4 linked regions of the Oreochromis niloticus genome follow. The protein of the gene in region 1 binds, or shares a complex with, the protein of each later gene. Links are inferred from orthologs where the notes say so. Each region holds a gene or a part of one and is shown in the gene's direction. Other genes may lie near its edges.

Evidence for each region.
Region 2: ruvbl2 (region 1) and meaf6 share a complex: the UniProt entries of both Homo sapiens proteins name them as parts of the nuA4 histone acetyltransferase complex. The link is inferred for Oreochromis niloticus from reciprocal best matches to the Homo sapiens genes RUVBL2 and MEAF6.
Region 3: ruvbl2 (region 1) and histone acetyltransferase KAT5 share a complex: the UniProt entries of both Homo sapiens proteins name them as parts of the SWR1-like complex. The link is inferred for Oreochromis niloticus from reciprocal best matches to the Homo sapiens genes RUVBL2 and KAT5.
Region 4: ruvbl2 (region 1) and enhancer of polycomb homolog 1 share a complex: the UniProt entries of both Homo sapiens proteins name them as parts of the nuA4-related complex. The link is inferred for Oreochromis niloticus from reciprocal best matches to the Homo sapiens genes RUVBL2 and EPC1.

What each region holds. Positions count from the first base shown.
Region 1 is NC_031975.2:1,309,779-1,317,059, reverse strand, and holds the start of ruvbl2 (ruvB-like 2), read left to right. Parts: upstream 1-4,275; 5' UTR 4,276-4,415; intron 4,416-4,859; exon of another isoform or gene 4,860-4,967; intron 4,968-5,164; coding exon 5,165-5,219; intron 5,220-5,356; coding exon 5,357-5,412; intron 5,413-5,529; coding exon 5,530-5,671; intron 5,672-5,846; coding exon 5,847-5,976; intron 5,977-6,060; coding exon 6,061-6,127; intron 6,128-7,144; coding exon 7,145-7,251; intron 7,252-7,281. Other genes in the region: ftr83 (finTRIM family, member 83), read left to right, coding at 337-405, 1,428-1,954. UniProt on the Homo sapiens protein: Possesses single-stranded DNA-stimulated ATPase and ATP-dependent DNA helicase (5' to 3') activity; hexamerization is thought to be critical for ATP hydrolysis and adjacent subunits in the ring-like structure contribute to the ATPase activity.
Region 2 is NC_031985.2:13,858,250-13,865,621, forward strand, and holds the start of meaf6 (chromatin modification-related protein MEAF6), read left to right. Parts: upstream 1-4,350; 5' UTR 4,351-4,400; coding exon 4,401-4,490; exon of another isoform or gene 4,491-4,491; intron 4,492-5,149; coding exon 5,150-5,265; intron 5,266-5,635; coding exon 5,636-5,723; intron 5,724-5,812; coding exon 5,813-5,858; intron 5,859-5,954; coding exon 5,955-6,147; intron 6,148-7,372. Other genes in the region: stpg1 (O(6)-methylguanine-induced apoptosis 2), read right to left, coding at 1,620-1,726, 2,390-2,580, 2,663-2,831, 2,912-3,020, 3,108-3,278, 3,850-3,951, 4,045-4,113.
Region 3 is NC_031975.2:11,844,844-11,851,730, forward strand, and holds the start of histone acetyltransferase KAT5, read left to right. Parts: upstream 1-3,868; 5' UTR 3,869-3,977; coding exon 3,978-4,007; intron 4,008-4,087; coding exon 4,088-4,154; intron 4,155-4,859; coding exon 4,860-4,928; intron 4,929-5,251; coding exon 5,252-5,390; coding exon of another isoform or gene 5,391-5,428; intron 5,429-5,978; coding exon 5,979-6,051; coding exon of another isoform or gene 6,052-6,057; intron 6,058-6,585; coding exon 6,586-6,744; intron 6,745-6,841; coding exon of another isoform or gene 6,842-6,844; coding exon 6,845-6,887. UniProt on the Homo sapiens protein: Catalytic subunit of the NuA4 histone acetyltransferase complex, a multiprotein complex involved in transcriptional activation of select genes principally by acetylation of nucleosomal histones H2A and H4.
Region 4 is NC_031974.2:10,910,529-10,918,366, forward strand, and holds the start of enhancer of polycomb homolog 1, read left to right. Parts: upstream 1-4,821; 5' UTR 4,822-5,158; coding exon 5,159-5,311; intron 5,312-7,838. UniProt on the Homo sapiens protein: Component of the NuA4 histone acetyltransferase (HAT) complex, a multiprotein complex involved in transcriptional activation of select genes principally by acetylation of nucleosomal histones H4 and H2A.

The sequences.
Region 1 (7,281 bases):
GTCAGTCCCTAAAGCCAGAAGATGTGGTACTGAGAAATGATGTTGAGTCATAATGCTCAGGTTTTTCATCATCTGGCCCCGTTTCCTCATTTCTTTCCATTCTCCTGTTAGATTGCCCCTGAGCTCACTCGCTGCCTCACGCTGAAATGTTTACCTTGATCACAAATGTCAACCTAACAGGTTACACTCACCTCTAAAACAGAAGTGTTTGCCTGATCACTGATAGTGTGAACAGGAACATTACCTCCTGCACACATATTAGCTGTTCAGCTGCAGCACATTAAAAAACTGCTGACACACAGCTCTGTCTGATTTTCTGTGTGTTTCCTCTCACAGGTGACGAAGCTCCCATGTACAAGTCTATGCCAGTCAAGGAGCCTCAGTACAGGGAGGACTTCCTGAGATGTGAGTCTCCTCTGATCCACACAGTTCACTGTTCTCGCTGCTCAGTTCACTGCATGACGCAAATTAGATGGGTTCTCTGTCAGACCCTGTGGCTGACCACTAAATCTGCTCTTAGAAGCTGCTGTTTGTCCTACAGTGTTGACAGAGGTTGGGACTGATTCACTGCAAATATTGCACAGCTATGTCATTTTTACTTAAGCTGCATTTTAACCTCCTGCAACCCGAGCTCTCGTTTGGGATGCATTTTTAATTTCTCCAAATTTTCTTGAAGCTGATTAGTTTAAAAAAAAGAAGCATCGCTTTTGAATAGAAAGGGTTTTTTTTAATATATAAATATATTAAAAAGTATGTCCTCAATAGAGAGACAGTGGGTTTGTTTTCCAGCATAACACAATATAGTTTTATGGTCATTATTAACAGAGTATTAAACATTTATTGAGTAAGATGAAGTGTAAGTCTAAATGTAATGTCCCCATATGAGGACACAGAGTCTCAGGAGGTTAATCCAGCTTTCAACAGAAATCGTTGGGGGCTCAAAATCTCAGCAGGGGAAAAACTGCACAGTCACTGACTCGCCTCACAGCTAAAAAAGGTCTTTGCTAGCTGGAATTCTGTTTGTGGTCAAACTCACAAACAGTGTTTGATACCTCTGGCATTCCAGATCATAGGCCGGGCAGATCTAGCCGAGGGCATCGGGTGTCTCACCAACTGTGACCTGCAGAGGTGGAGATACACAGCAGTCAGGTGACTATTCTGATTTCTGTGTCCAGCCAGAGGGTCTCTTGCTTTTTCTTCAAAGCGTGTTTTGCAGAAGCTAATTAAACTTCTACCGCAGTGAGTAGAAGTTTAACTGAGATGTTGATGACGTTCTGCTGCTGCATTGGAGTGGGGTGCTTCAGCTGCTGTAGGACAGATGCTTTGGCTTTCTTTGCTTTCCTCTTTTACATTTATCCCAGAGTGATTTAAGTTAAGCACTTCCTCTTGTTGAGTAAATAATGAACTTATCTTCCACCCATCTTTAGATGCTTGCCAGCTCACCCTTGACCAAAACACAGCCTACAGACAGCTTTACTTGTCACGAGGGAACAGAAAAGCTGCCCTCAAGAGAGACCCCCAGTCCTACCCTGACAGCCCTGCCAGGTTCGACTCCCTGCCCCAGGTCTTGTGTAAGGAGCCCCTCTCTGGAGGCACCTACTACTGGGAGGTAGACTGGAGTGGGGAGGGGGCTTCCATCGGCATCGCCTACAAAGGCATCAAGAGAACGGGCTACGGTGACAGCTGCCGCATCGGCTACAACCGCAAGTCATGGAGCCTTTTCTGCTCTGATTCCAGTTACTCAGCCCGCCACAACAAGGACCAGCAAGAGGTCAACGCGCCCTACTCCTCCCGCATCGGCGTTTTCCTGGATCACGCCGGGGGTACTCTCTCATTCTACACTGTTGGGGAAACCATGTCTCTAATCCACCGCTTTAAGGCCTCCTTTAGTGAACCTGTCTATCCAGGCTTCTGGGTTTGGTATGAGTCAGCCATTACCATTATCCAGCTGTGATTAAGTAACACATATCCAAAGATCAGTGGGTGTGGATGACGAGTACTGTTGTGAGAAAATATGCTTTTGTTCCCCCCCCCCTTTTTTTTCTAATATTAGATCGTTGTTTTGTTTGCTATCCAATATGTGCTGATGGGGGAAACGATGCTTGATGAGCAAATATTCAGCAAATCAACATGTGTTCAGTGTAAAATTAGTTGTAGAAAGTCAATGAGCATTTACTAATTCAGAAATAATATAGTATATGCATATTTACACTATAATTCAAAATAATGAACCTTGTACAATGTGATGACCATTTGTGATATTATGCTTTTTTTTATCAAATAAACTTTTGGTAACAAGCATGAGCTGTGATGTGGATTTTTTTTCTCTCATTTCTTCTATGATGACGAGCTTCCTAACTCACTCTTCAAGCTAATCAGCTCTAAGCCAGATCTGTAAGATCTTTAAAAGTCAGACATTTCCTGCCATTAGCAACATCACTCAGAGTGCAATTATTTCATAAGCAAATGTAAAATAGACCCAGCTTTGCGTGTGGACTAGTAGGAGATGGTGTGTTTGTGTGTGCTTAAAGCACAGTGTTTTGGAAAGCAGCTGAGAGGTCAGCAGGGAACTCTACAGGAACAGGCGAGGTGTAACTGAGAGGTTTCTGTGACGCTTAAGGCTCGTTATGCTGAATGGAAGTATGACTGAGTCCTAATGTATCGTCAAGTTCTTCATTAAAAAGTTCTGAGTTAGTGTAGCGACTCAGGAGCTGCAAAATTTACTACTTGAGTTCTACTTGATCAGCGTAGATGATAAAACTGCATCCAATCCGAGGTTTGCCCTTTTACCATGCAGCAGTCGCTCTGCTGTGATGTTTAAATAAAGCGACTTCAGTTTGTGGAATCTTAAGCCTGGGCCTTGAGGTGAAGCTTGAGCGGTCTAGTGGAGAGGATATGAAAACCCCTCCAGAAACCTTAAGATTATAATCAGCAGGCAAGCTTTCCCATTGTTCAATAATACTGCAGTCTTGATTTTTTAAGCTTTTAAAATTACTTTTTGCAAATATGAAGCTCAGCTTGAGACAAAGATGACAATAAAAATCTCAAACTCATCTCCATAGTTTGGATTATAATATTTCTCAGTTTAAAAAATGAGAGAGGCTTTTATGCACAATAAGATGAATGAAGCGGAGCCTGTAGAAAGTTGAGGTTGGTGGTAGCAAACGTTTATCCGGCTTGCTGCGGTCATCAATACCACTCTGCAAAAACTTTGGCTTCAAATTTGAAATTCTTAAACCTTTAATACAACTCGGGGGTCTTGCCACCTCTGGTGGACAAACGTCTGCAGTACCAAGTTTGAGCAGGTTTTTTTTTTTTATCGTGGCTGGTGACTGAAGTGAAAGCTTCCGCTGTTAACGTGTGCAAACAGTAACTAAAACAGTGCAAAATGCTTCCTTGGCTGGTCCAGCTTACGTACAGTATGACATTGACATTTCTACATTCTACATTATACCAGTAAATATTAAAGATTTCCACGGACGGGCTATTTTGTTGCGAGAAGAAAAGGTAAAATGTGAAAAGGGAGTTAAAGGGAGCCTAGCACACAGTTTAACCACTCTGGACTGAAACGGGCTTCACGGATTAAAATGTCCAAAATATAATCCAGGACACCGGTAAATCTCCAAAAGTTGAATCTGTTCATCTGGACGTAGCGTTTGGTGGGAGAAACGTTTCGTCACTCATCCAAGTGACTTCTTCAGTCTCAGCTGACTGCAGGTTTCCCCAAACCTTATCAACAGTACATTTGCATAATGACTGAAACCAGCCCACTGAAGGAACAATGGGCTGTGAGGTCAGTTCCTTAATCATAATTGTGCAAATTCCCATGACCATTGATCAACAATCACTGACCAGAACCCACTGATCAAAGAACACTGATCAATGGCCATGAGTACCATTCACAGAGAGTTGGGGAATGGCTGCAATCACAGCATTGTAAGATGGCCAGTGATTGTTGATCAATGGTCATGGGAATTTGCACAATTATGATTAAGGAACTGACCTCACAGCCCATTGTTCCTTTAGTGGGCTGGGTTCAGTCATTATGCAAATGTACTGTTTATAAGGTTTGGGGAAACCTGCAGTCAGCTGAGACTGAAGAAGTCACTTGGATGAGTGACGAAACTTTTCTCCCACCAAACGCTACGTCCAGATGAACAGATTCAACTTTTGGAGATTTACTTTCCTGGATGATTGAGAATGCATCAAGACACCGGTAAGGTTTCCTGCCACTCCCTGTAAGTCACAAGCTCGTGCTGTCATTTTACCATCGAGCCCATAGAGGGCAGTCAACCCAAACATCCCCTAGCAGGAAAAAGAAATAAAAGAAGCGGTTTCTGTACGGACGCTTTTAATCTGCGCACAATCAGAAAGAAGCGCCGCATTCTCACATTTTCGTAAGTGTGGCTGCACAGGTGAGTGTTCATGCGATCAATATAAACAGTGCTAACTCCAGGCTTTCACACTGTGGTGTTACAGGATGTGTCCTGTAAGATCATCCTTTCGTGTTCTGTTGAACATCGCGTCTTCGTCTTGCTAAGCAGGAGTTACTCAAAGAAGAAAGCTTTGAATGGAGCTAGCTAATTTGCTAACATAACATTAGCTGGTGTTAGCATTACTTGTCACTGTCCTTGCTCTGTTTACTTGGCGCCAAACTAGATTTGTGGCTTTGGTGTACCACGTTATTAAATCTGTGTAATGGCGATACCCGAGCTTTCCGTTGCTTATATGAAAAAGTGAAAATACGAAGAATAAAAAGCCTTAGAAACTAGGCTAACGTAATGCTAACACTGTTCTTACTCTGTTGTGGCATGCGCTCAACTCTGTCACTATGACAACCACCTGACCAGGACGGGCTCTTTAAAGTGTTAATTGTTTGACAATCTAATGTTGTGGTAGTCTTATCACCAAAGTGTTTTGTTTTTTAACATTTATTTAATGGTGACTGGGTTGTATGTCGTTAAAACGTCAGTAGAAATATTTGAACCTCTTGCTGGATCGAATATTTTTTTTATTTATCTATTGTTTGACATTCTGACATAGAGTGGGATACTCTGAATACTCTGTCTAATAATGCATGTTTTTAAATTTAAAAGTAGTGGTAGGAAAGCGGGCAGGATCACTTTATAGTGACTAATGAATGATTTCTCTGCTTTTAATACAGATGGCAACTACAAAGGTTCCAGAGGTTCGTGACATCACACGAATCGAGAGAATTGGTAGGACTGAGACCCGGAAACACATGATTGGTTACTGTGTGATAGTGCTGTGATAGGTGCACATGGTACCTGATTCTTGAGAGTTTTTTCACTTCCTGTGACTCACATTATTTTATCTGTTTTCACCTTGTGTTTAGGTGCACATTCTCACATTCGTGGCCTTGGTTTGGATGATGCTTTGGAGCCAAGACAGGTAGCTTTAATTCCCTTTTCCTCTCTTTCTTAAGGGGCATGTAATAGATTTGTGACTTAAATATTCTGTGTCTGTGTAGAGGAGATGTGCCTTTTACATGTCTATGTTCAATTCCAGGTGTCTCAGGGGATGGTTGGCCAGCTGGCCTCCCGTCGAGCTGCAGGAGTCATCTTGGAGATGATCAAAGATGGCCACATTGCTGGCAGGGCAGTACTGATTGCTGGCCAGCCTGGCACAGGAAAGACTGCAATTGCTATGGGTAAGAGCTCCACTGGAAGCTTTCCAGAACATAATATCAGCCCCAGTTAGAAGATATTGGTTTCTTGGATTGATGGAATTGGCTTAGGGTACATTTTTGTTGCTCCTAGCTTGATTGGCAGAGTGTAGGTTTGGCTGAGACTTTGTTTTTGATTTTGGGGGGTTTTCCAATGCAGGCATCGCCCAGTCTCTTGGCCCTGATACACCCTTTACAGCACTGGCTGGTAGTGAGATCTTCTCCCTGGAGATGAGCAAGACTGAGGCACTTAGCCAAGCTTTTAGAAAAGCCATCGGAGTAAGGATCAAGTGAGTGAGCAAATGCTGTAATAGGGTTTGGTAAATCTTCTTATACGAAAAGAACTGCTATTAACTGTTTTTGTTTTTTAACAGAGAGGAGACGGAGATCATTGAAGGAGAGGTGGTCGAGATCCAGATTGACAGACCAGCCACAGGAACAGTAAGCAGCTTACACTCATAATATAGTTAACCCAGTCTTTTTATGTGGTTCTTTGGAAAGTATTTTATTGGTCACACTAGGGTTGGGCGATATGTAAAAATTTTCCAACCGACAATCGTCAGTCCAATAATCGACGATGGGCGACATATTCGTGCATGCGCAGACTTTTTGATGGGCGGAGCAATGTAATCATGCACGGACTGATTTGCACGTTTACAACACAGAAGAAGTCCAAACATGGACGAACTAATTTCCCAAAAATTAGGGCTGTGGCGTTAACGCGGTCATCACGATTAACGCGATTAAAAATTTTAACACGCTGAACCCATCGGGAGCGCAGAATGAACGAACTTTGGACAAACTGCTCAAAATGTGTTGACAGAGACATTTCAGGGATTTTGACTCAGTCTGCGCACTGATGGGTTACTTGTTAATCGCGTTAGTCGTGACGATGGCGCATTAACGCTGACAGCACTAAAAAAATATAAAGTTGCCAATTTGGGATTTTTAAGCCAGATGAAAGCAGCAAACCTGAGGATGTAACCAAAGCGGTGTGCGCTTGTGCAGACGTATAGTGCGAGCAAAGTACTCAAACACGGCTAACTTGCATGAGCATGTACGTGTCCACCGTCCAGCTGAGTATGCTAGGCTATCAGCAGCTTCTGCAGCTACATCATCAAGCATCTGGGCGCACTCTGAGGAGGGGGCGTTTGCTCGCAGATGAAAGAGGGTGCCGTTATCTTTTTTCTGTTGACTGCTTCTATTAGCTCCATCATTCTTAGCAAACTTACTCATGGGCGGGCAAATAAATAAATAAATCACCCGTGTGAAAACGATCGCCGATGGGCCGATGGGCTCAGCCTGTTGTCAATAATCGATATTTTCATCCAGTCGCCCAACCCGAGTGTCACAGACAGTATAGATTTCACATGTAGTTAAATGAACATGTAAACACTGTTGTAGATATAAAACACTGTACTTCATATAACTTACTGAGAATTTTGTGCCTTGGATCAGGGTGCAAAGGTGGGCAAGTTGACGCTAAAGACTACAGAGATGGAGACGATCTATGACTTGGGCAACAAGATGATTGACAGTTTGAGTAAAGAGAAGGTGCAAGCTGGGTAAGTTCAGTAGGTGATCTTGTTACAGGA
Region 2 (7,372 bases), on another chromosome or scaffold:
TGGACATTTAACTCCCCGACACATATTTTTTTCAAGGGGAACAGTCATTAATTTAAAGTCAGAGTTTTAATGGCATTTGAATCACAGAGTATTTTAAAAGTCTTTACTTTGCTTAGCTTAGTGACTGCAGCCAGAATCTGTAAGCCAACAGGTTTACACACAGATGCAAACACTGTATTTTTAAACACTGTAACAAAAAAGTGAGTGTAATCATACAGAGTAACAGTTAAACACTTATATGAGGAAACAGAGATCAAGATCATTAATGGTTAGTCAGACAGATTTTAAATCACCTCGACATATGAGGTATTAAGATAATTCTTCTTTATTGCTGTCATACAATTACCTTCTTTCAAAGCATCATATTGCTTCAGGTAGTTATTAGGTAGAGCTTTATTATCAAAATACTGATTACAGCAGCTTTCGACTTATCTGAACCACAAAGCTGCTGTTCCTGCTCAGGACCTGCTCCATGATTAATGTGGACAAAATGGTTTATAGTGGCACATTTATCACAATAACCACAGAAAACATTTAAAAGATGGCGTGTGTAACTTTATGTTGTGTTTTCTGACTTGGAAAATTTAAAAAAAATGAAGTAAAAAGAGAATCTGGGTCCACAGCTGCACAAGGCCTTACAAAAAGAACATTTACAATCATATGTGCATTAATAACATAATAATAATATTTGATTTTTTTAAAACATTGTGAAAGACTCAGCTCCAATGCAACATGTGATACAGGGACTGAGTGATGCGTCCATTTGTCTTTTGGGTTAAACACCACCCTGCCTCATGCCCAGTCAGTCACATTGCTCACATACACAGTCACTCCACCCCTCCGCCTGCCCTCTGGCAGTTGGCAGAGTGGTGTCATCTCGAGCTCTCAGCTGTTACTGTGGCGTACCATTGGCTGGACCGGCAGCTGCTGGGGACTGTGCCAACACTTTCTTCTATATCACTTTAGAGCATCAAATCCACAAGGACAAAACATATGGCTTTTCAAGAATTCTGGCATTTGACCACCACCACCACCACAGTGGATAAATACTAATTATGATTCATTTCCGAAAACATCCAAACATTCCAAGGTCTGATTGGCCAACATAAACACGGAACTAGAGACTAAATTGGTGCAAACATTTAATTTTCATCTTATTCACTCTAAAAGTGCCGATCAAAGAATAGCAACAATCACAGTTCATCTGAGTGAAGATGTACGTATCTACAGTGCAGTCTGAGCTGGAAGCTTCACACAGGAACCCAGACTCTGGAGTCGTTGTAAAAGAAGGACTGCTTTGACAAGGGCTGTGGATTATATAAACCTGGAAGGAGAGAGAAAGTTTTACTTAATGCTTTCATGAATGCAATAACAACTACTTTGGCTGCTCCTTTATTCATAAGGGATTGCTCCACATGTTTGGTTTGGCAGATCTTTTTTTGTATCTCCTCCTGGGATCAAAGCTAGTTAGGCAAATGTGTAAACCACCAGTTTATTAAAGACGCCTTGTTTCAAACAGATTCAGTCAATTCCATTTTAATTATGTAACACCAAATCACAACAGTGGACACAAGATTCCTACAGTATTAGAAAGAAAGACCAAAAATCACACAAGCCCCCTATGAGGAAGCATTTGGTGACAGTGGAGAGGAAAAGCTTCCTTTTAACAGGAAGAAACCTCTGGTAGATCCCGGTTCAGGAAGGGGGAACCATCTGCCAAAACCATCTGTGAGTGAGGGGAAAGAGAAGAGAGCAAGTGAGGCAAACTATAGGCAAATTAATTCTCACCAGACTTTCGCATTTTTAAGAACCAAGCATCAAAAAGTAGAATGTAACCTAAACAAATGAAAAAGAAAGTTCTCATTCAAGCTTCTTTCCTGTCTGTACAGAAATATGTTTTTAATAGATGCAATAATACATGAAGACTACAGCAATGTTCTGAGCTAAGCAATGAGGTTAAAGACAAAAACTGAACCCGGGACAGATGCTGTATCCATGCATAATGAAAATATTGACTGAAATGTTGCAACAAAAAAATAAAAAAGCTTTTTAATATAAAATTAGACTATCCGAATGATCACTATTGTTAGGAAATGGTTGGCCACACAACAGCCACTCCGTGTACACAGAAAAGTTTCAATGGGCACCCGTTTTGCTGGATTAAAAAAAAAAATGCATGTGGTCTAGGAAAGATAGCTAACGTGTTAAATACAGCAGATTCAATCCAATATCACAATAACTGTACCGAGGAGCTTTCAGACTACAGAACGGCCAATGCCTGATCTGACTGTGCTGGATATCTATATTGCCATGTGCACCAGTGTTATTTAAGGCCCAGTAAATCAGAGATCAAATGCATGTGAGAAAACTGCCTCATTTATCTTATTACCTGGTCCTGGGATCTTATCAGCCATCGGTTTTTGGGGTATTCTTTGAGTTCTGGATGCAAAAGCAGCAGTGGGTATGGACTGCTTTGATGGCCGGTCATACTGCCCTATGTCATAGTGCCCAGGGCCCGGCAAAGGAGGATCCTTAGGTACAGTCTGAGGAGGTGCTGCTATTGCCAAAAAATATCTTCTCCTTCAAACACACATAAAACGATATAAACTTTAGATAATAAAAAAAAAAAGTAGCAAAACCTAAACATTGTATGGTTACTTACGGAAGGATGGTCTTCTTCACTGGGGTGGGTGCCTGATGGGGGTTGTAGGCCCCCGGGCCCGGCACACGGTGGTCGGCCGGAGGAAGGATTCTGTGAGTTTTTGATCTGAAGGGTGACGAGACCGCCTTTGAACCATGCTGGATTAAGCTGCTGTTCACCTCGTAGTGGCCTTTTAGAAGTTTTTTTTTAATTAAAAATTTAAGTGCAAATTTAATAAGAGGCTAAAAGAGACAAAACTTCAAAGCAGACCTGGTGATGGCACATTTTTGTTTGGGCAAAATGAATCCCGTGTTGTTCTTGAGAGGAAAGGCGCTGTACCAACCACTGAGGAGATGCTTACTCTCCTCACACAACTGACCTGTACAGAAAGAAAAAATGACACAAAATACACAACAGGATCTCAGAGATTACACCCTGAATCAGCTTTTATAATCAGCACACATACATCATACTGATTTGGAGCTGGAGTTATATGTTTGGGACCATCCATCTGCACAGCTATGGGCAGCCTGAAGACCCTGGAGGCTCCAGTGTTGAAGTCATATTTATTTATGAAGGAACTCTGTAGGTTGTATGCATTTGGGCCTGGAGTGGGTCTCTGTGGCCTTCTGTCAACCTGGAAGAGAGGATGAAGTGATGAAGACATTTAAAAGCAGCAGGGGATTAAAATTTATTAGACTAAAAGTAATCAGGTAAACTGAGTACTGGAGCCATAACTAACACTGACTTTAAGTTCTGTGTCATCTTCATTATAAGGCTCAAGGATGTTTTGTGGCTCCATACTTTTTTTTTGGTCACAAATTGCTCAGAAAAGGATACTTTGACATTAAAGGTTGCCATCTCCTGCCAGATTATTCAAATTAGGGTTGTAGTGAAGCTGAAGTCTGTTAACATAGGATGAATGGCAGGGTGTGTACACCAATCTAACAATGATAAGATAACTTTATTGTCTCCCATAGGAGAAAATCATCCTGGATCAGGCAATACATAAAAAGGCACACAGACAAAATCCACTAGCAATGATGCTGGGGGGAAAATAACTTACAGGGTAAGTAAGGATTTTTTTAAAGCCCTATTGGGGCAAAAAGTATGATTTAACAAAACAAAACTGATTTGACTCGTACAAATAATCAACAAGAATAAATGCCCAAAGGCGTTTCAAGATGATACATAGTGGACCTCCTGACCTTGGATGGGAAAAAGCCGGTGGTGCCTCTCTTTGAGAAGGAAGGACTGTTGACTTCAGTGCTGGTAAAGCAGTCGTAGGTTCCCGGTCCTGGACTTTCACTCTGACACACAAAGACCACACACGTTATTTATGCGGCACTGTTATTATTATTCTTTTAAAATGCTTTGAATTTTGATGGAGTTAAACTTCCTACCAGACTAATTTGAGAAGCAAACCTATTAGCCTGGGTGGAAAAGCCCTTCTTTTCCTGATGTGTTGTCATCGCTATTTGGTACTTAGCTTGTATTGAACATCTTTTACTAGCTACAAGATAAAAGAAACCATTATGTCACGTTTTCAGCTTAAGAATTTATAACTATTTCCACTTTGGACTCAGTCGAAGCCATCTGACGCTATTCGAGGTCCTTGGAATTTTAAAGCAGTTGCTATGGTGATGTGAAAACAGATCTATCGCGAGACTCCAGCGCCACCTGTCGGTGAAATGGAGGCGGGCTTCTTTATTGTACCTAGTCTCCCCTGTTTAGTGTCCACTTTAAGCGGCTATCCGTCATGGCGATGCATGCGAAGGCGACTCCGCCGCAGATCCCGGACACTCGCCGGGAGCTCGCTGAGCTCGTAAAGAGGAAACAAGAACTCGCCGTAAGTAGACGTTAAGGTGGTTTCGTTATAAAATAAACGTCGCATTTAGTATTTTACCGCGTGAAATTTTCTCGTGCGCGCTGCTAGCCGAGGCCCCGCTACATGCTAAACTAATGTTAGCCGGAGCTAGCGGTAGCGGCTCACTTAGTTAGCGGGTCGACAGCGTTGTTTGGCTGATAACGTTTGATTAAGAGTAGTGTTAGTAGTAACAAGACTCCATGCAGCTCTCTTAATATTTCTTTTAAGTGTTTTTACGTATACCGACTTTACAGCAGCGCTTTTGACAAAATATTCTAACAGCTTAGCGTAGCCAAATTTTAGCAGCCGCCCTGCTTGGCCAAGTTCTCGCGATAAGTTGGTGTCACATGTGTATTGTGTACATCCAGCCAGATACCTGTGATATTGTTGCCTCTCTGGCATGAGGAATAAATCAGCATTGCGACAGACATCGCTATCTTCACTTTTGCGCGCTCACTGAATTCTTCCTGCAAATGCAAGTGAATAATTAACACTTCAAAAGGGACATATTTTATTATCCTAATTTGTGTGTCTATAAATAAATGTCTGTTAAAAGTTTACCAGCCAGGTTGATTAATACAATGACTAAAACTCAGATATCTAACATTTATTCTTTTCCTTCACGTTCTTCACTGTCACAGGAGACATTGGTGAACTTGGAAAGACAAATATATGCATTTGAAGGCAGCTACCTAGAAGACACCCAGATGTATGGCAACATCATCAGAGGATGGGACAGATACCTCACCAACCAAAAGTAAGCAGCTTGGTGGAAATGCATTTACACTAAATGAAAAGTCAGCCATTGACTTGTATTAGTTACGTACAAGCCAGCAGGAGGAAGAAGAGTACAGCCGATGGCTGAAATCAAGTTCCAGTAAAATTATTAAGAAAAAAAAAAACTACATCTAGTTGATGTTGAAGCAGGACGTCCAACTTTTTTTTAAGTTAAAGTTGGGTGGGGGGGGGTCTGAAGAACTTTCTTTTCTTTTCATAAGGAAAAACTTAAAATAATTTAAAATACGCAATTTTTTCTTATTCCCAGTGTGGGCGTTTGGAACCACTTTTGGACCAAACCATTGTTTAATTTTTTTTTACATTTTTGTTTGCTTGTTTTAATTTAACAGGAACTCCAATAGTAAGACTGATAGACGGAATAGGAAATTCAAAGAAGCTGAGCGTTTATTCAGCAAGTCATCTGTTACATCAGTTGCAGTAAGTCTTTTGCTTATTATTTTAAACAGATATGCTGCATAATAACAAAAAGCACTTACTAAACTGTTCAATCTGTGACATTTTTACAGGCCGTTTGTGCACTCGGTGGTATACCAGATCACATGAATGAAAAGCGTGAGTTTTGCTTTTGAGCTAAGCAGCATTAAAAGTTTGTATTTTGTGGACTGGTGGTAATTTGTGTCATTTATGCTGTTGTTTTGATTTCTTCAGGTGAGGCAGGCAGCGGCACAGAAAGCGATGCCTCTCCAGATCTCCAGAACCAAGAAAACGAGCCCAGCCAGGAAGACACGGAGGATGTGGACTCGACGCTGCAGGACCTGAAGCCTCAGAAGGCTGCTTCCTCCTCCTCCTCAGGCAGCCACCACGGGAGCCACAAGAAGAGGAAGAACAAAAACAGACACAGGTATTAAATAAAGGAATGACGGTGGGGTCAGCATGCTGTTAAAATCTCCTTCCATTTTTTGATTGTCCATAGCCGTTCATGTAGACTGCTCTTGGCAAGCCACGTTACAGAACATGTTTGCACAAAATTTCTGTATACATCAAAGTTCCTACTAGTGACTAAACCCCCGTGGCTTCAATCAGAGACACCAGGGAGTCTATTTCTTATTTTACTGCCTGTACCTGCGAGAGCTCATTGAATTGCGTTGTTCACAGAGAGATCACAAAAAGTGATCTAGTATGGCTAGAATAAGTTTGCAACTTGGATTCCAGTAGCTCTTGTCTTGTTTTTTTGCTCCCTTTGTGTGTGAGTGTGTACACAGTGGGGGTTATTTAAAGGTATTTTGGGGGCAGGCCAGTATAAAAGGAGTATTTTCTCTTCCAGTAGACTATTAAATTTTCTCATGGTTGAATGAAGGAGCATTCTTCTGGACAGAAGAAGTATTCACACTTTGCGATCCTCAGCACTCACTGTAGTCTTTTCCTCGATGACAGATGTCACAGTTCAGGGAAAAACAAAAAATCAAAAAGGGGAAAAAGTAATAGCAGGGAAATGAATGCGATTGTTTTTTTTGTGTGTCTTTTGTTTTGTTTTTTACTGAACGTATCACTTTTTCCTCCTGTTTCAGCATCTCCCTCTGTTATCTGACACTTGCAGATCTGCTTGTACACTTGCATATCCAGCCCGAGTACACGCAAGCTGTGCTGGAGACACGAGAGTTGGTCGTAATTAGTGCACAACAAGCCAAAAAAAGATATTTTGGGTGTGCTGGTGTTCCCATGCATGACAAAAGCAATCATAAAGCAAAGAAAAAACCAAAGTCACGATATAGCACAGACTAACCAGTTGAGGCAGCAGTAGATGAATAACATGTTTTCCGAGATAAAATTGCTCCCTTTTTTGTTTTTGTTTTTTGTGACAACTTAACAGATGTCTTACAGCAGGTTAATTGAAGTGTTTGTGACATTTGAGCTTCTGCTTTCAGAGAGAATGGAGGGTATTGTTTTGGTATTCAGCCTAAAATATGTTGAGAGATTTCTGGTCCACATCACCAAGCTTTACAATCTCAGAATAACCTGGTTATTCTGAGATTATCGGAGGGTCAATAAATGACAAGTTTGTTAAGACAAATTAGGTTTAACGTGTCATGTCGACATGTTTTTTGTTGACTCGGGCCTCACTGTTT
Region 3 (6,887 bases), about 11 Mb from region 1:
ATCATCTTAGGAGTGAAATTTATGAGATATTAAATTTCAGAGTATGGGACAGTGGTTTGATTTCCTCATCCAAACATATCTGTCCCGCCACGTTTGAGGAGATGCAAATCCTCCGCTCTCCAGTGAGCATTTCTTTTAGAACATCTGGAGTCACGTGTGCGTCACTAGTGCGGCTTAAAGATGACACGATCAGGAGTGAAAAGAGGTGACTGTACGAGACGTCTTGGATGGAAGAAGGCAGGGATACTGAACAGAGAGCCAAATATGTCATTATGTAGCTAAAGAGGTTCACAGTCTCTTTGGGAAGCAGCTGGATTGGAGAGCGGATCACTAATCACTGATCTGCTTCGCTGTTCAGCACACGCACAGAGATGGCTGTCATTAATAGCAATAGTTCACATCGTGATGTTTACGAAACCTCCTGCAGTTTATAAGGTTTATGTTCTTCTTACCGGTTCTATTATGTGCAATAACCACACAAAGGCAACTCTGTGAGACCAATTACATGAAATGTGATGCTGAAATCAGAGCTTTTTTTGTCGTTGTTGTACTTTCGTTGCTTGTGTTCAGTGACAAAAGCTAATGTAGGGAAATGGATTGTCAGAGTGATTTAACCTGAAGGACCAAAGCGGGATCATAAAATTTATTCTAATATCAGGATAATTATAGAAAAATGCATGGAATGAAAAAAAGGTGTTTAAACTCAATTTTCCTACAAAAACAGATGAGATGTGTTTTAAGTTTCTCTAAACTGGAAGCAGAAACTTAACTGCAACTCCAACGACAACCAACGGACAGTCATCAAGTCATTGAACAGTCTGGGGGAGTTTGGGGCTTAGATGTTAAGCCCCGCGGTACCAAAGACGAAAACAAGTCTCCCTTCTTCTCCCCCAGAATGTACATGCAGTGTCCAATGTTCCCGTTAATTTTCTAACCAAAATAAGTCCTCTGCGGACACATTAACGAAGTCTGTGGTACACTCAGTTTGTCTGGTAGCATCCCTGATTAGCTGATTATAAATGAGGTATGGGAAGATGTGAGATATGTGTAAGCGTTATGAAGTAGCTATGGAAGTGAATTTGCAGGATGCAAGGTCACTTGAGCGCATGTTGACGTCACACTGTTTGCTCTTTATCACTTTGTTAAATCATTTCACAGCTTCATCCGTTTGCTCATAAGAAGCCACCAGGCTTATTGTGCACTCGCATGGTAAAGAGTAATATGCAGGCTATCCCTACAGAAAGCTTGGACTGTCTGATTAAAAATGTGTGATGGGATTAGAGGTAGTTGTTTTATCTGATTTATGGCTTAGAGTTTAATTTCTGATTTTAAAAAAATGCAAGTTCTGTATACTGAACGCTGTTCCGAGGATTATAATAAAGATCATTTATAACCTTTACCCTTTCTTTGTGAGATGATTTGATCGGACACTGATCGCTGATACTTTTTCCATAACCATATTTATACACTGATGAGTAGCAAACACTTAATTATTTGTGATTCTTTCCAGTGCTCAGGAGTACACTCATCATGAGCATTTTCACAATACTCTCTTAGCTTTAAATTTACATTAGAGGCATTTAGGTAACCCAGTAGTAGCTTGGCTGCTGTTTCGTGCCATGTATTGATACGAAAACCTCTTGAAACAGCTTTTTCAAATACACTCTAGCTGGGGCTACTAGCCCTGGTAAGAATGGCAGGTGTGCTTTAAAACATAAATCATAAAGCTGAGGGGCGTGTAGGACACATCAGGAAGAACCAGAAAATGATTTCCACATTTTATTGCACATTTTATAGCTCCGAAGCTCCCCAGTCCTGTTGACTCGGAGGGCAGTAATTGCAGACGGGCACAATGTAGCAGGATGAGAGGGACTGAAGTGTTTCCACAGATGTACATAATGGGTTTATCCAGAGTGGTGAAGCAGTTCAGTCATAAATTACATTCCTCATCTCAGCAGAAGGTGACAAAAGAAAAGCAGCTTCAACGTAAACGCTCTTTTTCCACATTCACTGGGAAAATATTTAGTTGGGGCTGAATAGGAAGCTAGATTTCAGACTTAATCGACTCTCATTTTTTTTAAAATAGGGAAAAAATACATGAATAAGCATGAAGAGAGAAGATATTCCTTCATTTTCTTTTGCTTATCCAGTTCAGAGTTGTAGCGGGGCTGGATCCTGTCCCAGCTTTGACCGGGTGAGAGGGAGGTTACACCGAAAACATAAAGTTCTTTGAGAGTGTTGCACAGCCTTAGAACGGACTTTAATAACTTGAAGATGATAAGGCTCTGCGTTAGCACCTTGAGACAAATCAGCGCACTCGCTGGCCAACAAGGCAGCACTATAGCTAGTAAAGGAGCTGCCTGCCTGCTACTTTGCTCACCTAAAATCCAGCAAACCGAACAAGCAAGGCAAGTTAGACTTCACGACTGTACTCACAATAATGGGGTCATTGAAGGTAAATGCTAGTGTGAAATTCTAATGTGTTTCACTGTTTGATAAACTGGTCAGAGATGAAACTCATTAGGTAGGCTTGGCGATCCCAGCAGGCCCGATATCCCATGACCTCTTACCTGCAATGATATATAAATAAAACACATAAAAGTGGTAGAGGCACAGCATTAATATTCTTCAACTCCCACTGAAGCTTTATTTAATGAACTACACGGCCTTGAAAGATAAAGACGGAGAATGATAACACAGCTCTCTGCTGTTAGAGCTCTGTAAAGTGCAGCTGGTGTTTCAATGCTTGGAGGGCTCTCTGAGTCTTCCCTATCACCACACAGTGAAGATGATGTTCAAAAACACCTCATGATAAACTCTTACACAGCTACCTGCAGATCTGTAGGCCCTGATTAAGGATACAGTCATTTGTAGCATTTAATGAAATGCAGATGTGGCTCTAGAAGTTCATTAGAAAAGAATGGTGGAGGTTGCATTAGCTTCACTGGACTGTGCCTTACCAGGCAGTAAGTGCAAAGATGTGCCTCAGGTTGCTAATGTGGACCTCCACAAAGCTGACCACATAACTGAGCATGCCACGCAAGGTTACTTTATGATGAGAGACCGTAGTTTTCAGTAGATGGTAAAACTTCTAATTACAGGGACGAGATCTTAGTAATCAAAAAAGGGGTCACTTCTTTTTTGACAAAGTAATGCTATATAAACAAATCATACTTGGTTAACAAGAATTTCACTCACATGTGCTGTACCAGTGTACCAGAACATGTGATGTGACAATAAAAGTGATTTGATTTGATTTAATGAATTCAAAACAGTACAAACAGCAGTTGAATAAAATAAATAAAAATAATAATAAAAATTAAATAATCAAGGAAGCTGAACACGTTATTGTTTTCAGTTCAGTTTAGTTTAAGTTAGATTCCACAGTTTGCATACTACTGTTTTAATTAGTACCTGCATGATTATTTAAGATCAGTACAATGTTCTGATACAGACATGTGGCTTCCAGTCATAATGATACTCCAGTATCAGTAGACATACTGGTTCATGCCAGTTTTGTTGACAAAATGTAATCAAATTGACAAAAACTAACTATTAAAAAATTGTGGTTTTTTTGGTTAGCTTTTTGGTAGATGCTATGATTCTTATAGTAGTTTTCTTTTTCCACTAATAAAGAAATAAATAGCTGTCCATTAGTCCAAATTATAGGTTATCATCTCAAAACTTTGACTCACAAACTTCTGAGAAAATAACTCAGAAATGAGGGGGAGAAAACTTCCCAACTGTTTTCAGTTACTTTACAAAAAATAAAGGTTTTTTTTTTTTTAATTCATTTTACCTTTAGTTTTTCACACTTTTATGCCAAGGGAATCGACACAGAAACATAAGCAAAATCCCCCCCGCTTAGCTTCCGGGTTGGTTTTCCGCGGCTCCTTCTGGAAGTTTCATCTTGCCGTATATTTCATCTTTGTTGTAGACCGGCATTTTCCCACAACACCCCGCTCCTGCTCGCACAGATGACGAAAATGGCGGACAACTCATCGTCGGTAGGCTTAAGAAAGATATAATGTTAATATAGGCACATTGACCGGTTTCAGAGTATAAATTAACGTGTTGTTATTTACAGGTCGAGATTGTGGAGGGCTGTCGCCTCCCGGTTCTTCGTAAAAACCAAGAACACGAAGACGAATGGCGTAAGTATTGTCCGTTTTTCTTTCAATGCTAAGCTAATGCTAAGGAGCTCAGCTCAGCTGTTGTTACCAGAAGCCACGGCCTCCAGTTAAAGCGCTGTAAACACCATGGCCACAGATGGTGCATGCAGCTGTAAAGTGTGAATGAATTAAATTTGAAGACTTAAGAAAGCTGCTGCCACTCTCTCGGAAATTAAATTGCCAACTCTTAAATTTGACTTAGTTTCACGTTTTGTAGAAAAAAAAAAAGTACTAAATGCAGGTGGCATCAGTGATGTTTACAAATTTGAGAGCGAATTTATCAGGTTATCTCTCTTACTCTCTTGGCACTCAGTTTGGTCCATAGTAATCTAACACTCCTTTTTAACACATTTAGGCAAAAATAAAGAAAGAAATTAACGAAATTAAAGCACAGGTGGTATTTAAACCAAATTTAATTGGGCATCGCACTTAGACTTTATAATCCTGATACCTCAGCATAAATAATTACATTTTAGGACATTTAAAATCTCCCATTAAAGTAGATTTTATGCACCTTTGGTTTATTTTTAGCATTGAAATCTAAACAGTAACTTTTATCACATATCACATGCCTGTGTATTTAATGTTAAGTGTGTTAAAGCTCCAGTGTTTCATAGAAAAGCATCACAACGATTGTCTTCATTTGAGTACAGTTCAGATAAAATGTGACATCTCTGCTTTGTACAGCACTGGCTGAAATCCTGAGTGTGAAGGAAGTTTCTGGGAGAAAGCTCTACTATGTTCACTACATTGACTGTGAGTATATTTTGTGTCAGTCGTCTTGGTTTTTCTCAAGATTTGATTCACAGCCCCAGTTTAGTAAACATACATCAAAGCTAATTACACCTTTTAAGGTTTGTTTATTAAGTTGTTATCTAAAATTGCAAAGCAGATTTTTATTTATCTAGTAGTTCATTGATTTTTTTTTTTTGTCATATTTGGATCAATTCAAAATTATAGCTTTGTACCACATAGCTTTTGATTTATTTATTTTTTCACCCACCGTTTCCTGTCATGCTATAAGCTAAATAACTTCACACATCAAATCACCACTCTCTCTCTTTGTCTGTGTATTTAAGTCAACAAACGTCTGGATGAGTGGGTCACAACAGAAAGGCTGGACATGAAGAAGCTTCAGTTCCCCAAGAAAGATGCTAAAACACCAACCAAGAATGGTCTTTCAGGTTCCCGTCCTAGTTCTCCGGAGGGAGGGAGAGAGAGAGAGAGAGAGAGAGAGAGAGAGAGAGAGAGAAGTGGTAAGGAGTCCACGTGTGATTTAAAGCAATGTAATTATGATTCTCACAGTGTTAAGAAATGACGTCAGTCTTAATTTCTGTGTTGTGTGGTTTTTATTCATTTTATAGAAAAACCTGCATGATGGTAAATTTCATATTTGTTGCTGTTCACTTCCATTGATGCATGGTATAAGCGCTGCTTTCCATGGTCACTTTAATAAGCTGCAGTGTGCTTTATGCTGCTTGAGCAGTGATTTGTAACAGTCTACCCACAGGAAATGCAGCCATAATAACAATAAAAATATAGATAAATAAAAGGGCATCATGTTATAGAGGACCCTGTTTTTAACAAAATATCAATATCCTCTTTTTTCAGTCTTACATTTCTGTGTTAATACTTCTTTGTGTCTAATTTTAAATCAAACACATGCCACTGAAATGGTGAAACGCTCTTTTTATGACTAAACCTTTAGTTCGATTTTGTGTGAATTGAATTCCTCAGAATTAACCTGAGGGTTAACATGAATTATGCCAGTGTTAACCCGCTTCCTTCTCTTCCTTTCCGTTCAATTCAGAGGAAGAGTCTAGATCTCAACGTACAAACTGCCACAGCTCCTTCCAGAGGCAAAACCCTCCCCACTCCGGTACAAGTAGAATTCACCCACTCCACAAATTACTGAGATCTTTTTAAACCTGGTGTCAATGTGATTCTTGTGTGATGGCCCCACTGTTAATGTTGCCCTGCATGGGAATATAAAGCTATGCAGAGCTATAAGGTAAAGTAAGTCACATCTGAAAGACGTTTAATATAGAGTGTATCCAAATGAAGATTTATAATAGGAAGTGAAGCCCATCTGTTGCCATCACATTTAATACCAGGTTTAATGGGGTGTATTTACATTGGTTAACCTGCAAATTATCTGAGATTTGGAGAAATAAATTGATTTGCTGTGGCTATTAAAGATGCACAGTCTTAGTTCTGTCTGCATACAAACTGCTGAAAAAGCATCTTGATATCAAGATGTCACTCTTCATTGAATACAAATGGAGTCCCCTGCTTTTAATCAAGCCTCTGATCAAGTTGACATGAAAAAAAAAATCCCATCAAATTCGCCTTTGTTTGGTTTGTTTGTATTCGATCTTAAAGCTGAATGTCTAACACTGTTTGTTTGCTGCAGAAGAGGAAAGTAGAGCCTGCCCCTGTGGCTCCTCAGGTACCCCCGGTCACCCCTGTGCCCTCCCTCCCAAGTTCAGCTGAAGCCACTCAGGCAGCTGTTTTTCCTGCCGTGAGAGAGACGCCCACCTTTAAGTCCCGTGAAGACCATGAGCTCACAACGGTAAAGAAAATCCTCTTAAATTCTCTCTCTGTGTTTTTTTTTTTTTTTTTCTTTTCTCCTATTTGCTAATGAATATCTTTTAATGTCCTACTCACAGCAGAATGGCAACGCCCGACGACTCATCCCTGCTCCACCTGGGAGGA
Region 4 (7,838 bases), on another chromosome or scaffold:
CCACTATACTATGCAGCATTCTCTTTGGACTGTGTCTGATCATGAAAAATGTGCAGTGCAGATATCAGAGCATCAGAAAAGGAAGGAAGAAGGAAGCAGGAGCAGCCCTGCCCTGCGACAAAACTAGTGGAGGGGCAGAGGGCGGTGGAGGGAGGTGACCAGCCCAGGAGACAGTTATGTAACAAATACTGCAGCTATGTTATGAAAAAAATGTATCTGATTATTTGCTGTTCAGTAAGTGGCTCTAATAAGTTTTGCCCTTTGACTCCGTCTGTGTTTAAAAGCCTATTTGAATCCTATTATTTGCACACTACCGTAATAAATTCGCATTAATGCATGACAACATTTTTCCTATTATTATTATTATTGTTACTTCTGTTGTTGTTATTCGTGGGTGGGCGGGGTTACTAGTGAGCTCATCCTCCCCGAGTTCTCCACAGGTGATTGGTGGCTTTCACCGTCCAATCACAATCCGCCTGTAAAGTGGTTTGGTGGTCACTTTGGATCGGGTTTTTTTTTTTTTTTGGGTCGAAGTAACCTAAGCTAACTAACCAAGTTTTTCGTCAGCGACAGGACATCTCCTCCTTTACCCTTGCTTTGGCTTCCAGTGACCTCTCTTTTTGCATTAACGGCACTTGCAGACATATAAAAAGAAACTGAATATCCTTCTGTTTTTTTTCCTCTGAGGCGTCCTAGAAGAGAGCTAACAAGCGTTAGCATTAGGCTAGCATGACAGCCAGAAGAACAACTGCCACCATCACCATCCTCCTCCTCCTCCACTGTGGGTTTGCTGGCATCGGGTAAGTTGCGAGTCAAGCTCAAGCTAGTTTTCCCCGTGTTGTATCCGTGGGAAGCGAAAGTTGTGGCTTTAAAGTCACTTGCGAGCTCAAATGAAACTGTTGGTGGGCTGTCCGCAAACTGTTAGCTGGCTGGTAAATGGCGCAGGGTCAGGGTAACTGGGCTAAGCTAGCGTTAAGCTAGCATCTATATCGCTGTTCTTTGTGCAAGCAGCTGTGTGGTCTTGAGAACTGAACGAATTAAAAAGCCCTCGAAAACTCATTTTTCCGGGGTCGAAGCGGTGCCCAATTGCTTGTCATTTGCTAAAACGATACCTTACAGTTTTTTTGCTGTCGTGTCCTGCTCTGTTTACCCCTCTGTTCCACCATATATGGCTTACTCTACTGTGTACTCTATTGCAGGAGCAAAACTTGCTCTGTGTGCTTCAAAACAGTCCAGAGCCAATGGATATGGGAAAATTCATCCGTACAAACGTTTACTTGGCAGCGTTAGTGTATACGTAGGTAGCAGATGTAGAAATTGTCGAGGTTTTCTCCAATGTAAACATGCACACAGAGTTAAAGTGTCCTATAGAGAAAATAATCTCACAGCAGATGCTGAGATGTCTTCTGGGCTTAGAAATGATATTTGTTTCCAGTAATAACTTCCAGTAATAATGATGTTTATAAGCACTTCTTTTTTTGACTCATTTTGTTTCACAGGCCTCCATTATGGTCTACAGATGTGAGCCTATGTCTCCCAAATGGATGATGATTATTGTGACCGAAATCTTCGCCTGGATCTTGTTTTCATCGCCACAAAAATTTTCACCCATTTCTTCAGGTTATTTGCATTTCTTCTTATTTTCAGTGATTTTGACGAAGACTGTAAGGGGAGGGTAGTTGGTTTCCATGGTTTTCTTCCACTTACCCAATTCAGGGTCGTAGTAGGGCTGGGGCCTATTCCAGTTGTCAATGGGCAAGAGGTGGGGTACAACTCTGGCCAGGGCTAACACAAAGAGACATAGATTCACATTTATGATGAATTTAGAATCACCGCTTAATCTAACATCGATTTCGCTAGTAGCAGGTCTGAGATTTATGGATTGAAGGCCTTGGTGAGGACTGGCAGTGGCCCCAGGTCAGACAGATCCTTGTGTACTAATGAGGGGTGTGAGAACTGGGAAAAGTGGGGAGGAGGGTGAGGCATAAAAATAAGAACAAACAAGCTGCAGTGCAGGAATGATCAAGGAAATCAAGGAAATGGAACAAGCCAATGTAGCTGTAGAGAGAAACCAGGCATGTACAGGGAAAACATGCAAACTTCACACAAAAAGGCCCTAGCAGGTCTGTGCATTCAACCCCATCCACTGTGCCTCCTCCTAATATCTGTATTAATCCTGTAGTTTTTAATGAAAACTGTAAGCTTCCCATTTTGTATTCCTCAATATTGTGCCTATTCATTATAGTATATGTAGGGACTCTGTGGTGTAGAGGTTTTACAGAGTTGGTTAACAGCCTTATCTTTAGCTTTATAAAGTGAAGAAATCGAAATCGCTCCAAACACCAGCCTCTCAGATGCTTCTGTCAATATCGGATTGGCAAAGCTCTGCTTTCCAGCATCCTGAGCAGATTTTATCTATTAGCTTAGTTTACTGATGGGTCAGTAAGGCAGCAAAGGATCAGGCTGGTTTGCTTTATGCAGAGCGGTGAATGCATCACGCACAGGATAGAAAAGAAAACACAGTATAGTTTGGAGCTTGTCTAAGTAAGAGTTCATATTCAGTTTCTGTATTGAGTCTTCGTGTATAATAGTACATGTTTGCATGCCGAGAAATCAGCTTGGAGCAGTAATATTAAAAGTAACAAGTGCTGTGTTCATAAAGCCAGAAATATCCTTATTCAGGCTGCCTACTTTCTAGATCAAATATAAAAATGGAAAACAAGAATTCATGCAGCTAATGGCTTAAAGGTCAAGAATGAAGAAGCTATTGCATTTAATTACTGTTCCATTAAATGAAACGGACCAGCAAATGTGCTGTGATAAACATTTGCTGAAATGAACAAATTTGGAAGTTGGTGGCTTCCCTGATTTCTTTTAGCTCGCTGACAATGATGCACCAATGAAAGTGAGAAATGTGTCATCTAACATTTGGTCAGATGTAAACTACATCTCAGAAGGACCAGTCAGGGTGGTAGGTTTACTTTTCTGCAGCATTTCCTGTACTGGCAACCAACAATGAGAAGATGAAGCTTTGCTGAGATGAAACTACAGTTAATCACAGCAAATTGACACTTAACAAATTAAAGCATTATATGCACCAGTGTACTTTTGTTTCTGTTGCCAAAAAAAGGCATGAAACATTGTTGTGGTTAAAACGGCATGTATGTACTCATTAGAAAGAGTTATTGCAGCACTCTAGGGTACTTCTTATTCTTCCTGGCCAGGCACCAAAAAGATGATGCACATTGTCAAATATGAAATACACAGTAAGGGTCACTTAGTAAAGTAATGCACTTGAAAAATGACTTAAATAAGGGCGCTTCCTGGATTCAGATGTTTTTCTATATTGGGATGTAATCACTTTGTTAGGTAGACCTTTTCATTAGTAGTAACTCAATGCATGTAGGTATGTAAACATGGCCAATGCAACCTACTGAAGTTCAAACTGAGCATCAGAATGGGGAAAGAAAGATGGTTTAAGTAGCTTTGAACCTGGGATTGTTGATGCCAGATGGCCTGGTCTGAGTATTTCAGAAACTGCTGATGTACTGGGATTTTTCCACACACAACCATCTCTAGGGTTTCAGAAAATGTTCACAAAAGAGAAAATATCCAGGGAGCAGCAGTGCGTTTTGTGACAATACCTTGTTGATGTCAGAGGTCTGAGGAGAATGGCCATACTGCTTTAAGCTAATGGGCAAGGTAAAAGTAACTCAAATACCCAGTGGTTACACAGAGCATCTGTGAATGAACAACACGGTGAACCTTAAAGCAGATGATCCACAGCTCAGAAGACTACACTGACTGTAACTCTTGTCAGCTAAGAACAAAAAACCGAGCCTGCAGTTTGCAAGTACTCACCATAATTGGAAAGTAGAAGTTTGGAAAAATGTTGCCAGGTTTGAGTCTTCATTTTCTGATGTGACATTTGGAAGGGTCACAAGTTGTTGTAAACTACATAAAAGTGTGGATCCATACTGCTTTTTATTAATGGATCAGGATGATGTTGTGTGGGATATTTTCTTTGGGCCCCTTAGTAGTAACTGAACTAACCTGGTACTGACCATATTTATCCCATTATGACCAGTGTGCCCAGGGTGCACTGCTCTTCATTTTTGTTTGTTTAAAGAGAACACTACATAAAATAACACAAATAAGGCCAGAATACATATTTGTTTATTGCTCAACCTAAACCAGTTTTGTTCCTGTTGTTCACCTTCTAGATCATTTTATATATATTCTGTAGTATTTGGGCGTAACGTTGCTACTGTGATGACGACACATCGGACTACTTCCTGGCTCTGACCATGTTAATACGTTTTGTGCATTCGCATGAACACAAGACAGTCCAGTTATAATTAAAACTGTAGTGTTTGCACCACAGGGTGGCGATATTTGCAAAACAATTCACTAATTGATACAGCATGTTCTGGTTGTTCATAATAATTTAAACACACGATACAAGTTTGAAGAATTGCGTCCTTGCTGTGCTAGAAAACACCCGTGAAACCTCAGAGTTACGGTGGTGTGTCAGTCGTTAATACGATCTGTCTATATGTGGCGGCATAATGAATGCGTTACGTCCTTTTTACGTTTTTTTTTTTTTAAAATATCTATATATACTTTTTTTTTTTTAAAAAGATGTAAAATATATATATTTTTATACGTCAGCATCAGCCTGTCGTATAACAGGATGAGAACATCCCGAGCCTAGTAAGTTCACATCCCATCATCAGCATCCAGCGTTTTTGCCCCCGCTGTCGATTCAGCCCCTCCTTCCTCCCTTTTCTCGTACCCCAAGGGTCTCGCGAGCGCGCACGCGTGCGAAACTGCGTGGGAATGGCTGTTTGTGTGATCGAGGGGGTTGGGCCGCTTGGAGCGAGCGGTGAGCTGCATGAGTTTGTAATGTCCGCCATGTTGGCAATGGCGTATTGAACCGGGGAGGAACAGCGGTGCCTACGAGAGAAAGAGACCGACAGAGAGCGATCGAGACCCGGGCCTGCCCGGCTCTGTTCGCGCTGCTACGGACCCAAGCCCGCCCTCAATCGACCGGCTGACTCTCAGAGACCGTCACAGATTCATCCATGAGAACTCGAGGCAGACCTGCTGTTATTCCTAGCAGATCGAATAGATTTATGCTGCATCTTTTATTATAAAAATGAGTAAATTGTCGTTTCGGGCACGGGCACTGGATGCTAGTAAGCCCCTGCCCGTCTTCCGCTGCGAGGATTTGCCGGACCTGCACGAATATGCCTCAATCAACCGGGCAGTACCGCAGATGCCAACGGGGATGGAAAAAGAGGAGGAATCGGTATGTTATTTTATTGCCGCCCGACTGGCGGTGGATCTTTGGCGGCATTTTCATAGCGCGAGGCGCCGCTATGTTGCCTGCGCAAGCTTGTGCAAAATGGCCGCCATATTTTCTCTTTCGTGCGCACGATGGAGCTCGATGAAAACTGAATTTTACTAAGCCGTTTCACCACGAGTGGTTGTATAAGGTTGCAATACTGTGATATTTTATTGGCAAGCCGTGTTGTGTCCGTTTATTTCCTTTTAAGCAGTACCTGAATGCACAAAGAAGTCACGTGACCTCTATCTGTGCCACCATTTTGTTGACTTTCTCGTTGGTAAAGGCGAGCGGGATAGGCCTTGGACGTGGTGTACTTTTCGTTAGCAAATGCCAGGGGGAGACACTGAGCCTTCAGCCCCGGTTGACAGCTAGGCGCCTCGTGTTGACAGCCACAGCCCTGCCATGTGTGCTGCCTGTTTCGCGGAGAATGCGGAGTTTAAAAAAATAAATCCCAGAGCTCTGCTTTCTGATTAATAACTGCACACCTCTTCACATATACGTGGTGCAATGGCTGTAAAATGTGTTACGACATGCATGGTGTAGCCATGACTGTGCTATTCCTGGGGAAGTTTCATTCATGTAGTGCAGCACGAGGATGTAGTCTTCATTTCTGGAGCCATATTCCAAGTATCTTATTGGTTAGAAGCGTCGATGGCAAGAATACGGTGACGATAGAAAAGTTCAGTTATGTTCCTGAAAATTGGGCTTAGCATAAATTACTCTTATGAAAGTGCCTTATTGCAACTACTTATTTATTACTTGAATTTCCTTCATAATTGCATGAGTTTGGCCCACCGAGATATGCCTGTACTGTGGTGTTAGTCTGATTTTTGTTTTTTAACACTGTAGTATATTGTTCTGCTTTTACTCACGTGTTTTGAGATAACACATATTCAAATTATATCCAAATAGACATTTTTGCATTTGAATGAAGACTGATTAGGCTATGTTTTGATCACAAAGCCTTTCATTTAGAGTTTATACCTGAAATGAAAGCTGTTTTTCTGATTGTAGACAAAGTTTAAGTTGCTCATGCATTACCTGCTCATCTGGTCGGCTCCACTGAATTTTTCTCATTCACTTTTGTACACCCCCTGAGATGCCTCAGCAGACACAAACATGATCCACAGATGGGATGTAAAGCAAGTTGAAATCCTGCTTTCATACCTTCCTCAACTTACTGTGCACATACACAGCAGAAATTACATAACAGTGTGACAGAAGAGATAAAGAGGACAGTTTTACTACAAGCCTGTGCGTGGCTTAGCTCCCTGACCCACATCCTGTCCAGCAACAGTGGGGTGTTGTTGCACTGACTAAATACCCAAATGTTGGCTGAGAATTATGTTGTTCTAACTTACCAGCAGGCACAGTTTGTGAGTGTTTGTTGCGTCACAATGCATATGCATGACTTTGTCTCTTTAATTCAGAATTTTAGCTTGCAAGTGTAACCAGAATCTAAAGCAGGTGGAAGTTTTTGTTGTTGCTGTTATAGTATAATCAAGGGATTAACTTCATCAGCAGTTAAACCTTCAAACCTCTGGTGAGCAATTAACTTCTGAAACAATCTGTTTTTGTAATGCAACAGGACATCTTTGCTTGCACCATGTCCTGCATAGTGTAAATAGTTTGTGTGTTCCAGTGGCCGTTACCTTTACACTCACACTGAATTGTTCCATAACGTCTGGGGAAGTTAAAAGGTAAATCTGTAAGCCACGTTTTTGACTACAAAATTAAAATGCTTTAGAGATGGACTTTGTCCCTGTGATGCCACAATTTATTATTCACAATACATCAGCCAGTAAATCCTCCTGTCTTTAATTATAATTTACAGAATTGCCTCAATCTTTTATTTAGTATGACGCTAAGTCAGCAGGAAATGGTTTACTGATGGAGGGGAAGGGAGTTGAGGCTAGTTTTTTCCATCTGTAACAGTAGACAGCCTTATTCACCTAGAGAAGTCGCCCCCTGCTGGCTGTGAGGTATCCACTTTTCAGTCCTGGAAGCTACATCTATCCTTCACACTGTTTACAGTCATGATTTCTCTTTGTGTGTATTTATTAACACACAAAGTATTGAACAGTTTGTTTAATCGACTAACTGTCTTTGAGTGATTTCTAAAATTTTCACTAATTTCTGGTAGTGTTACTAAAATGTGTGGCACAGTGAAATTGGATGCTACTGTGCAAACAGGAGAAACATGTAAAGCCAAACAAAACACAGCCACCAAAATGCTCCGTGTGGATCTCCTTCAGAAAAACCAAATGGACAAAAATTATGTCTGGTGCACACTACGTCCATAAAACTACCATATTACAGCTCGACTATAGGGTCATTTGACAAGTATTAGGTATGGGCATGTGTTAAGTTAACCTTTGTTAAATGTGAAATGTTAATACTTTTGAGGGGGCTGGCATTCGTGACCACTTTAGCTTTAAATTGAAAGGACTTCTCCCTCCCCCATACTAATCGTATAGTACTTATGCAC